Linked DNA regions of Lepisosteus oculatus. The protein of the gene in region 2 interacts with the protein of the main gene of each other region in a biochemical or structural test. Links are inferred from orthologs where the notes say so. Each region holds a gene or a part of one and is shown on either strand. Other genes may lie near its edges.

Evidence for each region. The genes of interacting proteins can lie anywhere in the genome.
Region 1: the proteins of disks large homolog 4-like (region 2) and kcna4 form a complex in vitro, tested with the Homo sapiens proteins (8 studies listed by BioGRID and IntAct, with this or other methods). The link is inferred for Lepisosteus oculatus from reciprocal best matches to the Homo sapiens genes DLG4 and KCNA4.
Region 3: the proteins of disks large homolog 4-like (region 2) and kcna1b form a complex in vitro, tested with the Homo sapiens proteins (3 studies listed by BioGRID and IntAct, with this or other methods). The link is inferred for Lepisosteus oculatus from reciprocal best matches to the Homo sapiens genes DLG4 and KCNA1.

Annotation. Positions count from the first base shown.
Region 1 is NC_090716.1:3,645,485-3,649,707, reverse strand, and holds the start of kcna4 (potassium voltage-gated channel subfamily A member 2), read left to right. Parts: upstream 1-1,091; 5' UTR 1,092-2,226; intron 2,227-2,248; exon of another isoform or gene 2,249-2,596; 5' UTR 2,597-3,480; coding exon 3,481-4,223. UniProt on the Homo sapiens protein: Voltage-gated potassium channel that mediates transmembrane potassium transport in excitable membranes. Forms tetrameric potassium-selective channels through which potassium ions pass in accordance with their electrochemical gradient.
Region 2 is NC_090698.1:10,878,884-10,883,106, forward strand, and holds the start of disks large homolog 4-like, read right to left. Parts: upstream 2,849-4,223; 5' UTR 2,586-2,848; coding exon 2,567-2,585; exon of another isoform or gene 2,335-2,566; intron 1,447-2,334; coding exon 1,324-1,446; intron 94-1,323; coding exon 23-93; intron 1-22. UniProt on the Homo sapiens protein: Postsynaptic scaffolding protein that plays a critical role in synaptogenesis and synaptic plasticity by providing a platform for the postsynaptic clustering of crucial synaptic proteins.
Region 3 is NC_090702.1:25,874,935-25,879,157, reverse strand, and holds the start of kcna1b (potassium voltage-gated channel subfamily A member 1), read left to right. Parts: upstream 1-1,425; 5' UTR 1,426-2,101; intron 2,102-2,419; 5' UTR 2,420-2,774; coding exon 2,775-4,223. UniProt on the Homo sapiens protein: Voltage-gated potassium channel that mediates transmembrane potassium transport in excitable membranes, primarily in the brain and the central nervous system, but also in the kidney.

The sequences.
Region 1 (4,223 bases), on a different chromosome or scaffold from region 2:
GCCTGATGGCATTAGGGAGGTTTAATTGATACTGGATTGTCGCCTGTGGATGAGTTAAAAAAAAAGAGGACGGTTGGTGTGAGTAGGGCGACCTCTTGTGGCACGATGGAGTTACTGCAAGAGTACATTTCTTGTTGACACGTGATGGCGGGGTCTTCGCTTGCCTGAGTAGAATCAGTCCATAGCTAATCAACATAGCTATAGACTAAATGAGCAATCAACATATTTTGCAGGTGCAGTCGCCTGCATAAGCGATATCACCAGTGACAGCTGGTGAACACCGAGACATCTCAAAAATGATGATTACACGACAGAAAGGCGTGGCTTTAAATGGGACAATACGACCGCAGAGCTATCTCCTTATAGTCCAGGGCGGGCTGGAGCGGGCTCAAACTATATGCATAACACGAATGTAATTGCTTACACTGTAAGTTACAGTACCGCTTCAGCAAAGCCGTTAGTTTTAAAGCGTCTGCTGTATTAGAATTCACCTGCGGCTCGGCGGCGTTATTGCACGTCAAGAGACACTGCTTGTTCTACAGAGCCCAGAGGTCACCACTGCGCATGTACTACAGCGAGTACAGCGCGCTGGTGCCGCTCAGTTCAGTGACTCAGCCACAAGTTTAACTCCGCGTTCATGCGGGCGCTGTTTGCACAAACACCGCTGCACGCTGGGGCTCTGCTTTAAAGCGGTACACGCAGCCCAAATACTCGCCACGGACACAGTCGGCGTTCCTGCTGTTCGTGTTCATATAAATATCACAAGGATCCAACTATAGCCCCCTGATGAGGCACGCTTATATGTACAGTACCACACGGACATACTCCAACGCGTCACCCAAGGGCGCCGAAGATGCTCCTTCGAGACGCCTGGGATACAGGAGTTCGGCTTCTCCGCCAGGAATAGTATTTCTTTGCCACCGTGTTGTTTTTCCAACTTCGATATCACTCGGTTCCTATACACGCTTCATGCTACACTCATATGCAAACGAAACGTTGAATTGGTCATTAGCTATAAGTTAGCACTGGAATCTAAACAAAACAGTTTCTGTCGGTACTAACCGGGAATATACAGTAGACTATAGGCGCAAAACGTCACATGACTAGATTACTTCATGGGGGATATTATCATCATAAACACGTTTAAGCACACACCAGAGTTCGGTGCATAAATAAACCAGCAGTAACAGGTTCCGACACGAATGTATTCAATCTGCTCCCCGAGCTGCCGTGTGTCCAGTCCGCACGACCGTCGCGCGGCCGGTAAGAGAAAAAGTTCCCGAGCGCGCGGCGGCTGCAGTGCCTCGCTCCGGCCGCTGAGGGAGGATCGCAGCCCGGGCTGCGCGAGGGAGAGGCACCCCGCGCGGCGGGACCCGCTGCTCCTCTGCGCGGCACGCGCGCACGCGACGGGGGCGACAGGGGCCGCCGAATGACTTGGGGAGGGGGGGGGGTAGGCGCGTGTCACAGGCGGCTAATGTTATTTTAATCGACGCGACCGATGAACTTTAATTATCGTCGTCGCCCGTTTTGTTTTGTGGTTTTTTTTAGATATAGAGATGTGCGGATCCGCACAGGCTGAACGTCTAGCTTTTAAATTCTTAACACCTGTATATGTGTGTGTGTATATATATATACACCGTGTGTGTGTGTGTGTTGCCGGGTAAGGCGAAGCCGGGAGGAAATGTGTATTTTTTGTCATTGAGAGGTGTTGACAAAGTAGTGATTGATACTGTTGCACGGCCACGGGAACAGCTGCGATTTCCACAGCGCGCTGAGCGAACTACGGCTGCTCACACCTCGCTACAGTCACAGCCGTCTCCCGACACGCGTTACGCAGGGATCTATTGTGTTATCTTTTCCCCTTTTTTTTGCAACACCGTGAGCATACGGGAGGAGAGGAGAGGGGGGGCTCAGACACTGTTTTCATTTTGACTGCTGACTTTAACATCACTTGCCGTGCGCTGCCTACTGTGGGGAGACGCGTCAAACTGCCGGGGAAAAAAAAGCACCGTGATCTCCCGGGCGCGCCAAACCTGCAGCTGGGAAGGTGAATTCGTCTCCAGCTCATTTCTCTTCCATATTCCGTTTCCTGGCTGGAGGAAAGAGGGATGTGAGGACCTGAATATCAGGGCATCATAAAAAAAAAAAACAACTATCCCAACTATTGAAGATCACATCGGGCGGAGAGAGAGGAATAGGATCTGCGCCTGATTTAATTTTCAAAACGTAAGTACAGGTCTGAATCGTACTGGGGTGTTTGGGGACAGAGGGGGATTGTGTTGTATTATGTGCACGTAGGGTTTTCGTCTACCTGTATTTAGAGAAAGACTGAACTGGGCTAGACTGTATTGCAAGCATCCATCACGCAGTGAGACTCCTGTTGCAGGGGCTGTTTTGTTTAAGGTAGTGCAAGCGAAATGATAATATAGTGCCCGAGGGAGGGGAAAAACGGGTATAGATTCACCTGCCTTTAAGGTGCAGGCAGGTTTAGGATTTAGGAACTGTGTGCGTTGGCTCTCTAAGGTCGTGGAGGAACACGACGATCGGATGAATCAAGATTTTCTCGTTTCGCTTTTTTTTGTTGGTGTTTCCTCAGCCGTTGTAATCATCATCATCAAGTCGAAGACGTGCGAGGAGGACGGACGGCTGATTGCATTGCGCTTCACGTCTGCAGAAATAACATAACCTCCCACCCACCCCCCCCCCAGAGAAAAAAAAATCAAGACCACCACCACCACCACCAACAACAACACAAAGATCAAGGGTGGGGGGGGCGGGGGTCAAAAGGCGGCTTTAATTGCGCACATCTGGATATCAGGAGAGTTTGTGACGAGCGTGACAAGTGGAAAAGCGACAGTCCTCCCGAGATGGGAAGCCGGCGGAATCTGTCGTCTGGGAGCATCTTCGCCATCCTCGGCGCCGGACACACCGCCGGACAGGTGCAAACAGCCACAGCTTAGGGCGGGGGGCGGGCAGATCGTTTTGTGACCCCTCCGTCGTGGGCACTGCAAAAGTGTTTCCACCGTGCGAGGTGAGGATGGCGCGACTGAAGAGATAAGAAAAACAATAATAGTCATTCACCCCTCCTTTCCTAACGCACCGTCTCCCGAGCGGACCCCTGGGGCCCGACCCGACCCGCACCCTTCCCCCCAGTTTCGCGGAAGGAGTTCGGGACTAGGATGTTGCTTGGCCGGCACCCGTGGTCTCCAACAACGGACATGTCAGGCAAGAGGAACTAGGGCCCGAGTCGTGCTGGAGGCGCGGACGAACAGGTGCGAGGGTCTGACAATGTACTGAGCCGCCCCCTCCCTCTACCGCCACTTTCACTTCAGGTCAAAGCTGCGGGCCCTTGTTTTTGTTGTTGTTCTTGTGTTCTGACCTCGGAGAAAACTGAAACCGGGACACACACACACACACCTCCCCCCCGGACTCAACCCCCTCAAAAAATAAAAACACCGGCACGCCGCTCGCCCCGCCAACATGGAGGTTGCCATGGTGAGCGCGGAAAGCGGCGGGTGCAACAGCCACCTGCCGTACGGATACGCCCAGGCGCGCGCCCGGGAGCGCGAGCGGGAGCGCGAGAGGGAGAGGCAGGCGCACACGCGCGCCGCCGCGGCCGCCGCCGCCGCCGCCGCCGCTGCTGAAGCCGCCTCGGGAGGAGGAGGAGGAGGAGGAGGGGGAGGAGGGGGATCCGTGAGCCACCACCACCACCACCTTCACCACAACAACAACCACCACAACCAGCAGCCGCATCCGTCTCGCACCGCCTCCTCCTCCCAGGCCGGCAGCAGTGGCGGCGGCGCCGCCTCGCGCCCCTCCTCCTCCTCCTCCCAGCAGCAGCAGCCCCACGAGCCGCCGCCGCCAGCTGTCAAAGGCAAGCAGCGGCGGCGGCGCGCGGCGCAGTGGAGACGCGAGCGTGCGGCCGGCTTTCGCCACTCGGAGCTGGCGCTGCTCGGGTCCGAGGACGACATGATGAGGGAGGAGGAGGAGGAGGAGGAGGAGGAGGGGGACGAGGACGAGGAGGAGGAAGGCGAGGGGGGAGAAGGGGACGGCGGCGGCGGCGGCGGCGGAGGGGGAGAGCCGAGAGAGCGGCGGAAAAGTTTCCTGTGGAGCCTGGGCGACGAGGAGACGGTGTCCCTCCCGGACCGGCGTCCCCAGCAGGGCTACGACCACGTCTACAGCGAGTACGGCTGCTGCGAGCGGGTTGTCATCAACGTGTCGGG
Region 2 (4,223 bases):
AGCTGTAAAACCCAAGTCCTACCAGCACAGGAGTCCGAGGTCGACCCACCAGCCGACTCTCACACACAGTCACTTCATAGAACTCCTGGATATCTGGGGAGAGAGAACCAGAGAGAGGGGAGTGAGCGAGAGAAGGCAGGGAGATTGGGAGAGTGTGAGGGGCAGGAAGAGAGACAGAGGGAGCCACCGAGGAACAGAGACCCCCGCCGCACTGCTGTCGAATCCACCCCAGGTTTTGCAGAGCGGGCAGTCTGTCAGTCAGGGATCAGCCAGCCTGCCTGACCTGCTGGCTGTCTGAGTACTGTATGTCTGTGATTCATCCCACAGCCCAAGCGCCCCATCCACACAGTGGGTGCAGAGCAGAAAACAGCAGCTCTCAGCCTCATTCCTCCCGTCTCTCTCTCGGCCTGCCTGCCGTGCCTCCGTGACAAGCTTCCTGGATGATCTGCTCTTAATCGGGCAGTGCTGCAAGAGCCTCTCAGCTCTAATCCCTCCGCCTCAGCTAAACCAGCAGATTACATCCCCACTAAATATAGACAGATAGGCAGAGGGAGAGAGAGAGGCTGGGAGAGACGGAGTGTGAGATCTGAAAGAGGGGGGTGGAAAGCGAGAGAGGGGCGACAGGGGAAGACACAGAGGTAGAGGGGACCCCCCTCCTGTACAGTTTTACAGACCCCAGACAGTTAAGGCCCCTGTGTCTCATCCTCGCCCCCTGTGTTCATACTGTTCCTCTGGTCAGGCTGCAGGGGGCAGAGTGGAGTTGCACCTAGGGCTGTACAACGAAGAGGCCCCGTGTCTGTGCTCCCGAGGAGGCCCACGTCCAGAAGGTTTCCAAAATCTCTTAGAAACAGCCCAGCCTGGGGGCTCCTGATGGGGCTCAGCCAGTGAAGGCGCTCGATCAGGGAGCAGGCTGAGCCCCTACAGTCCAGACAGTGCTGGTTCTGCTCTGGGCCCTCATTCGCCCCACTGTGACTGGTGTTCCCCCAAAAGTGGGTACAGTTGGCTTGGGGCCTTCAGGGTTGGGTGGCCTTAAACAGGCCTGGGCGTCCTTTCGGCCGTGCAACAGCGCCAGCCTGCGTCTTTCTGGGCACCTGTCCGCTTGCATCAGCCTGGGCTGTTGATTCGTAGGGCAGGGGGGCCAACTGGACAGTTACCTGGGGCACAACAGGTGCTGGACAGGATATCCACAGCTTGCCCACAGAAGCTCCATCAGGGAGACGGGGGCACAGCTCTGTGGGGGGTGGGAGGAGGAGGAGGTGGGGTTCGAAACGGGAACCTCCCATCGAAACACAGCCTGTAGCCTAACCCAACCTGCAGCCTCACCCAGCAGGGCCTGGAAGAGGTCGCTCTGGAAGATGTTCAGGAGCTTCTCGGCCCGAGCCCGGAACCCCTCGTCGCCGGTCTCCGACTGACACTCCTCCATCAAGCGCAGGGCTTTCTCCGTGTCTGGGCCGGGAGGACAGAGACGGACAGGCAGGCGGTTATAGAAGTGAGAGCTACTGGGAGAGAGGTGGACACCTGGGGAGGACATCGCTGCGTGCTGTAAGAGAGCCGTTCGCCCCTCTCTGGGCAGGCAAGGACTGCCTTCTTACAGTACACATAAATAACAGTGTCTCGGGGTCTTCTTTGTCCACCTGAAACCAGTTATCAATCTACTTTGAAACGGTTAAAAAGATCAGGACTTCCACTCTCTACTCCACTACCGTCTGTTAAAGTGAAACAGTTTAGTTGAACGGGTCATTTCTTCTTTTTTTTTAAATATGGCCCACCCTGCCATGAAAATAATAATTGGGACAGTTTCTGAATTTCTCTTCCTTCTGGTGACTTTTATTCTGTCTGGTAAACCACTGCCTGTTAAGCCTGTTTGGCAGATAGTAGCTAGCTGGTCCCAGGATCGCATCACCCAGCCACTTCTTGAACTAGCTCAACAACACTTGTTCAACACTCCCACCCTCTTGGGTAAAGATGTATCTCCCCCACCAATTCTCAATTTCAAATGCAATTCTTGGAAAGAAGGCGGTGTTATCAGCCTCAGTGTGCTTGGGCAGCTAATCCCACACTCCCACCACTCTTTGTGTAAAGAAGTGCCTCCTGTTTGCAGTTTTAAATGCTGTACTTTGAAAGAAGCCAGGTTATCGGCTTCAACTTGTCTGGACTGCTTGTTCCATGCCCCCACAACCCTTTCTGTAAAGAAGTGCTGCCTGTTCGCGGTTTTAAATGTCATTCCTCGAAAGGCAGTGACGGGTTTCAGCGGACAGCCGGCGGACAGGTGACTCCGGGCTCCGGCCGCTCTCCTTCACACGACTTCTGTCGGTTAAACACTCAAAAACACACCTCCACACAAAAGTCTCCTGTCTCGTCACGGAAAGTTCTGGGTCTGTGTCCCACGGAGCCGTGGGGCCCTGAAGCGCCGACTCGCAGACGGCGCGCGCTCTAGACACGCACGCAGACCCGGGTTTCTCGCTCGAGAAGGGCGTTTGGGCGGGAACTCTGGGTACCGAACCCCCTACCCGACCTGTAACGGAGACGAACCGGGACTGAGGCCGAGACCGGCTCCGACACTCACCCTGTTTCCTCAGCGGCATTCTCCCTCTCTCTTACTCCCTCCCTCTCGACTTTCTCCTGTCCCTTAATCCCCCCGTCCCTCCGGAGCAACTGCTTCTAACCCTCTTTAGAAATCCCACGGGGGACTTCTGGGAAATGCAGTTCTGGCTCCTGCTCTCGACCACGATATTGTTTTATTAAGACCGTATTTAGTCGAAAGGAATACTTGCGTTAAAGGATACTACTTAAGCTATAAAATAACCTCATGATTAAACTTTTTGCATGCCGTATTACAGAATGAAAGCATGCTATACAAGACCAGATTTACGGTGCCGCTTAATACTGACGTGGACGAGAGTGGTGCTGTAGTTCACTTGGGTAATATTCTCCGGACCGTGTGTTTATAAACGACTGCATAAATAAATGTATTTATTGAAAACAGTGTGTCCCAATACAAATAATAATTATAGCTTTCGATTTAACCCTTTAAAACGGCTCTTAAACAAATATTTTAAGTTTCCAAAACATAATGTTGAGTTTAACTGCTTGAAACACCACTTGAAATAAAACTGGTTTTATTTTGTTTTGGTGCTTTCACTGGGCTGGCGCTGAGTGATGAAAGCAGGGGGAAACCGCACTCTTTGCTGGGGCCCGACAGACTGTTTTGTTAAACAGGGATATGATGTCATCCACGCGTCATAACTACAAGCTGTGACGTAGATGACGACTAGGGGGGGGTGCCCGCTTTTCCCCGGAGGCTTTAAAAAGGGCACAGTGCCGCCTTCCGGACAGACCGCAGACATGGCCAAGAGGCATAGACGAGCGTCCCGTCCAGTGCGCAGGAGGAGGCGAGTCAGGAGGTCCAGTGTGAAGCGCCAGAGGAGGAGGAGGAGGAGGACCAGGAAGCACCATTGAAACAGCTGGAGCACTTCTGGCAGGAGCTGCCAGCTCAGCTGCACTGCCCCCTGCTGGCCGCTGGACTGGCTGCCCTCAATAAAACTGCGCTATAGAACTGAAACATTGCCTTGACTGAATTATTGACTTGACTATGCTGTAAGATAGCGTCATGTATGTCCATGGCGACTTGCCGTAGTTAGTTTTGAAGCTGAGCTGAGATGTGCGTGTCCGTTGTTCGGAAAAATAAAAGAAGCTGTTTACATTTAATCGTTTACATTACGATTACAGCGCAACATGACAGACAGAATTAAAAACACAGCTGTTGAGGTAAGAAAAAGGTTTATTATTCCTGCTCTTAAAGACTTGTGTCCCGTCCAGGGTATACCCCGCCTTGCGCCCATTGCTTCCCGGGATAGGCTCCGGCTCCCCCACGATCCTGAATTGGAAAACGCATGGATGATCTTAAAGGGACATAGTCCCTTTAGTTGTGAACAGAAAAAAAAATACAAGTGGTCAAAGGCCTTCTAAGTCCTGGATTTGATAGTTGGACCTGAAGTCGTCCGCTGGATCTACCAGTGAACACAAGTGTGAACAGTTCATTCAGGACTGAGGACAGGAGGCAGCGGTTTACACAAAGAGTGGGGGGTGTCTGGATCAAGTTGCCAGGCTGTGTTAAAAACATTCTCTGGGGTGTTTCAGGCTGGGCGATGAGTCCTGGCAGTCTGGCTGGAATGGCTGGGACGCAGCTCCTCGTGTGTAGCCTGTCTGAGGGCTGTGAGGGA
Region 3 (4,223 bases), on a different chromosome or scaffold from region 2:
TCCTTTTCACAACTGAACAATAAATCACATGGTAAAATTAGCTTGGTCAGTCGTATAAACAATATAATTGGAAACAGACAACTGCTCATTTTTGTCCGCAAAAAGGTTATAAACGCCATGGTTTCAGTGGCAGAAACATGTTGAATGGGTGCCAGACCACCACCTGTGGAACGGCCGAAGACTGAACTGCATTCCTTTAATCCCATTCTTAAACCAAAACATCCACCAAACCTCATTTTCTATACCTCTAATTGGCTAAACAATACTTTTCAAGATATTTTCACTTTTCAATCCATGCATGGAAGAACAACCTCCCTAAAATGTGAATAGTTTATGACTTTAAAAGTCCTGATATTCATAAAATCACTAGATTTTGTATCTTTCTAATACACACCATCATAAATTACTGTAAATATCCAGTTTCTGTGGCATGGTGTAAGGTAACACAAATGCTGCTTTCAATGCCAGTGTCTGTAGTGGAAGTATTATCTGTACTATTTAAGGAGAGCATGCTAAACCTGCTGATTATAACACATTTCTCTATTTATAGTTGTTTCCTTTAGGTGCGGAAATTAGCGATTTTAAGGAAATTAAGTATTTCATCTCTGTGCTACAGTATGAGCTGGCCCACTACTTCTGACCTTTCCATTAAAAATAGTTTTATAAGGATTCATGCGTCTAGAGCATCATGTCTGTGTATATGATGAGTACATGTATATTTAAGGATTGACCTACCTAGCTATATTCCTACTGCACACATACAGTAGAAAGAAAAAATAAAAACAAGGTTCATTGTACAGTACCTACTGTATGGTCAATAATGCTGGATGTTCCCTAGTGCTGCTTTAGAAAACTGCAAGTAAAACTATTCTGAAATACGCTGCTATTTTTAATTAAATACTGATAAAGCATGACAGAATTGCAGTAAATTAAAATAATAAGCTTGACCTTTGTCTGTGGGAGAACATAATATAAATAGTAGTGAATTTACTGTCTTGATATATTGTACAGTATGTTGAACTGAGGGTTGCATAACATGATAAAACGTCCGTAGTAGTATTATATAAACTGTATATCTCGGTTTATTTTACATTGTCGTAAACCCCCTAAACCTATCTTTATTTCATACATGTATTTAAATCCATGTCACTCCACCTTTGTCATCGTCGAGAGTAACATACAGTACACGGTGAGACACCACTACAGCCGCCTTGGTGATTCTACAAACCCATATTTGTACAGCAGCGCTGTCTTGTACTATGCAATGTTGTTTTTTTTATGGTGTAGGATGCACTAGTGGCAACGTGTGTTTAGCACAGCCGGTCTGCATTGCGTCTAACCCCCCTCCCACCCCCCTCCCAACACACAATTTCACGCACTCTATCCCTCGCTCACACACCACTCTCTTTCCCCAGTACTTTATAGTCCTGTATACTGTATGTTAAGTAATGCGGTAGACTGTCTTTATAAATGCCTTTTTATTTTTTTTATTTTTGCTCTCAATCCGTTCCCTTTTAAAGTCCCGCTTTCGTTCACCTTCTGAAACTGTACTGAGATATCGGTGTACAGTACCTTGGGACGTTCGTTATCTTATCTGCACCAAACAGGAAAAGCTCTCCAATTTCTGCTGATGCTGCAACGTCAAGAAATGGCAAAAGAGTTCGCTTATTGCCCTTAATGTATTCAGCCTTCCCAATCGCACCATCATCACTTCTCTCGCTGTATAGGACATTATGCTAAAATGGTGCAGCTGGGCTGAGGTCAATAGATCCAGTGGATTTCATGTTTGGTTTTGTCTCTGCTCTCTCGTCTGTCTCTCGGGCTTTTATATTGCCTTAATGTAAGATGCAACACTTCGATACTTTTACCGGTGAGGTGGCTCGGTTGTTCTGATTAAACTTAGGAAATAATGACGTTAAAATGCCGTAGACATGTACTAAGACAATATAGTCTATTAATATTTCAGTAAAGCTCCTAGATAGCGCAGTGTAAAGCGATAGCCATATTAAAACAAAGCAGGGAGTGCAAAGTTCTAGCTTTGGCTTTCGGTGTCCACGGAGTCGACGCATTCCTGCACAGTGTCTTACAAGATTAACCGGAGGTAAGGTGAATTAAGGATGATGACAAAATAATAATAATAATATTAATATTAATAATAATAAACGCACAAAAAGAGACCTTACTTCTGTACTACCCTGAAGTCCCTAACGATGATGCAGCTGTTTGGCTAAAATGAGATGTTAGCATATGCGGGATTTAGTTTGAGGAGTGTGGGTGGGCTGTAGATCTGAAACTTGTGCAGAGCTCTATGCAGTAAAAATATGCACGGCTCGTTCCAGTGAACTGTATGGGATTTTGGACGTCTTTCAAAGAAGAAGAAATAAATGTTTTTTTTTCTCCGATTTTTTGTATTCCGCAGCATCCTGTACAGTTTGCGCTTTGGCCACCTTAGGTCTACAGCATAAAGAAAAAAAAAACAGGCAGCCGAAACTGCTGATCTGGCAAAGATCTCTTCTGTTCGATCCATTTTTTCTCCTACTGGGTGACAGTAACAGCAGCAGCAGGAGGAGCAGCAGCACAGAGAAGCAATGGTCGAGTCAGCGCGGATAGCTGGGGAACCGCACTGAAGCGAAGCAAAGCTATCCCCTAAAAAGGGGAACCCGCAAACAAAAGAGCAAGTCGAAGACGACACATATAATAAAAACTGGGAGCCTGCTGACGCGGGCTGAACAGAAGACGTATCTCCTGCAGTATTAAAAGATTCGACAGCCAGGATGACAGTTGTGGCAGGAGATAACATGGATGAGACGTCTGCCTTGCCCGGGCACCCACAAGACAGCTACCCACCAGACCACGATGATCACGAATGCTGTGAGCGAGTGGTTATCAATATAGCCGGGCTGCGCTTCGAGACTCAACTAAAAACACTTGCCCAGTTCCCCAACACCTTACTGGGTAACCCCAAGAAAAGGATGCGGTACTTCGATCCCCTAAGAAATGAATATTTCTTTGACAGAAACCGTCCTAGTTTTGACGCCATCCTGTACTATTACCAATCGGGAGGCCGGTTAAGAAGACCGGTTAACGTACCTTTGGATATGTTTTCTGAAGAGATAAAGTTTTATGAGCTCGGGGAGGAGGCAATGGAAAAATTTCGCGAGGATGAGGGTTTCATCAGGGAGGAAGAACGCCCTTTGCCCGAGAAGGAATTTCAACGCCAAATCTGGCTTTTATTTGAGCACCCGGAGAGTTCTGGACCAGCGAGGGGGATTGCTATCGTATCTGTAATGGTGATTCTGATATCAATTGTTATATTTTGTTTGGAGACTCTACCTGAACTAAAAGACGACCCTGCAGGGAGGATACAAACTATAGGGAACAGTACCTTCTACTACAAACCAAATATCTTCACTGACCCTTTCTTCATTGTGGAGACTCTCTGCATTATCTGGTTCTCTTTTGAATTGGTAGTTCGGTTTTTTGCTTGTCCCAGCAAGGCGGACTTCTTTAAGAACATAATGAACTTCATTGATATAGTGGCCATTATCCCGTATTTTATCACGCTTGGCACTGAGATGGCAGAAGAGCAAGACGGGAAAGAGCAGAAGGGAGAGCAGGCGACGTCTCTAGCAATTCTCAGGGTGATCCGTCTGGTCAGAGTTTTCAGAATCTTTAAACTCTCCAGACACTCCAAGGGACTTCAAATCTTGGGACAGACTCTCAAAGCCAGTATGCGGGAACTGGGACTGTTGATATTTTTCCTTTTCATCGGTGTCATCTTGTTCTCCAGTGCAGTATATTTTGCAGAAGCAGAAGAGAAGGATTCCTACTTCTCCAGCATCCCGGACGCTTTCTGGTGGGCTGTGGTGTCTATGACAACCGTGGGTTATGGGGACATGTACCCTGTTACAATTGGGGGTAAAATCGTGGGGTCGCTGTGTGCCATTGCCGGAGTGCTGACGATTGCATTGCCCGTGCCTGTAATTGTGTCCAACTTTAATTACTTCTATCACAGAGAGACGGAAGGGGAAGAACAGGCACAATTGCTACATGTTAGCAACCCGAACATCGCATCTGACACAAATTCGAGTCGCCGTAGTTCGTCTACTGTCAGCAAGTCCGAGTACATGGAAATCGATGAGGACATAAACAATAGCATAGACAATTTTAGAGAGGCAAACCTCAGAACTGGCAACTGCACCGTAGCCAACCAAAACTGTGTT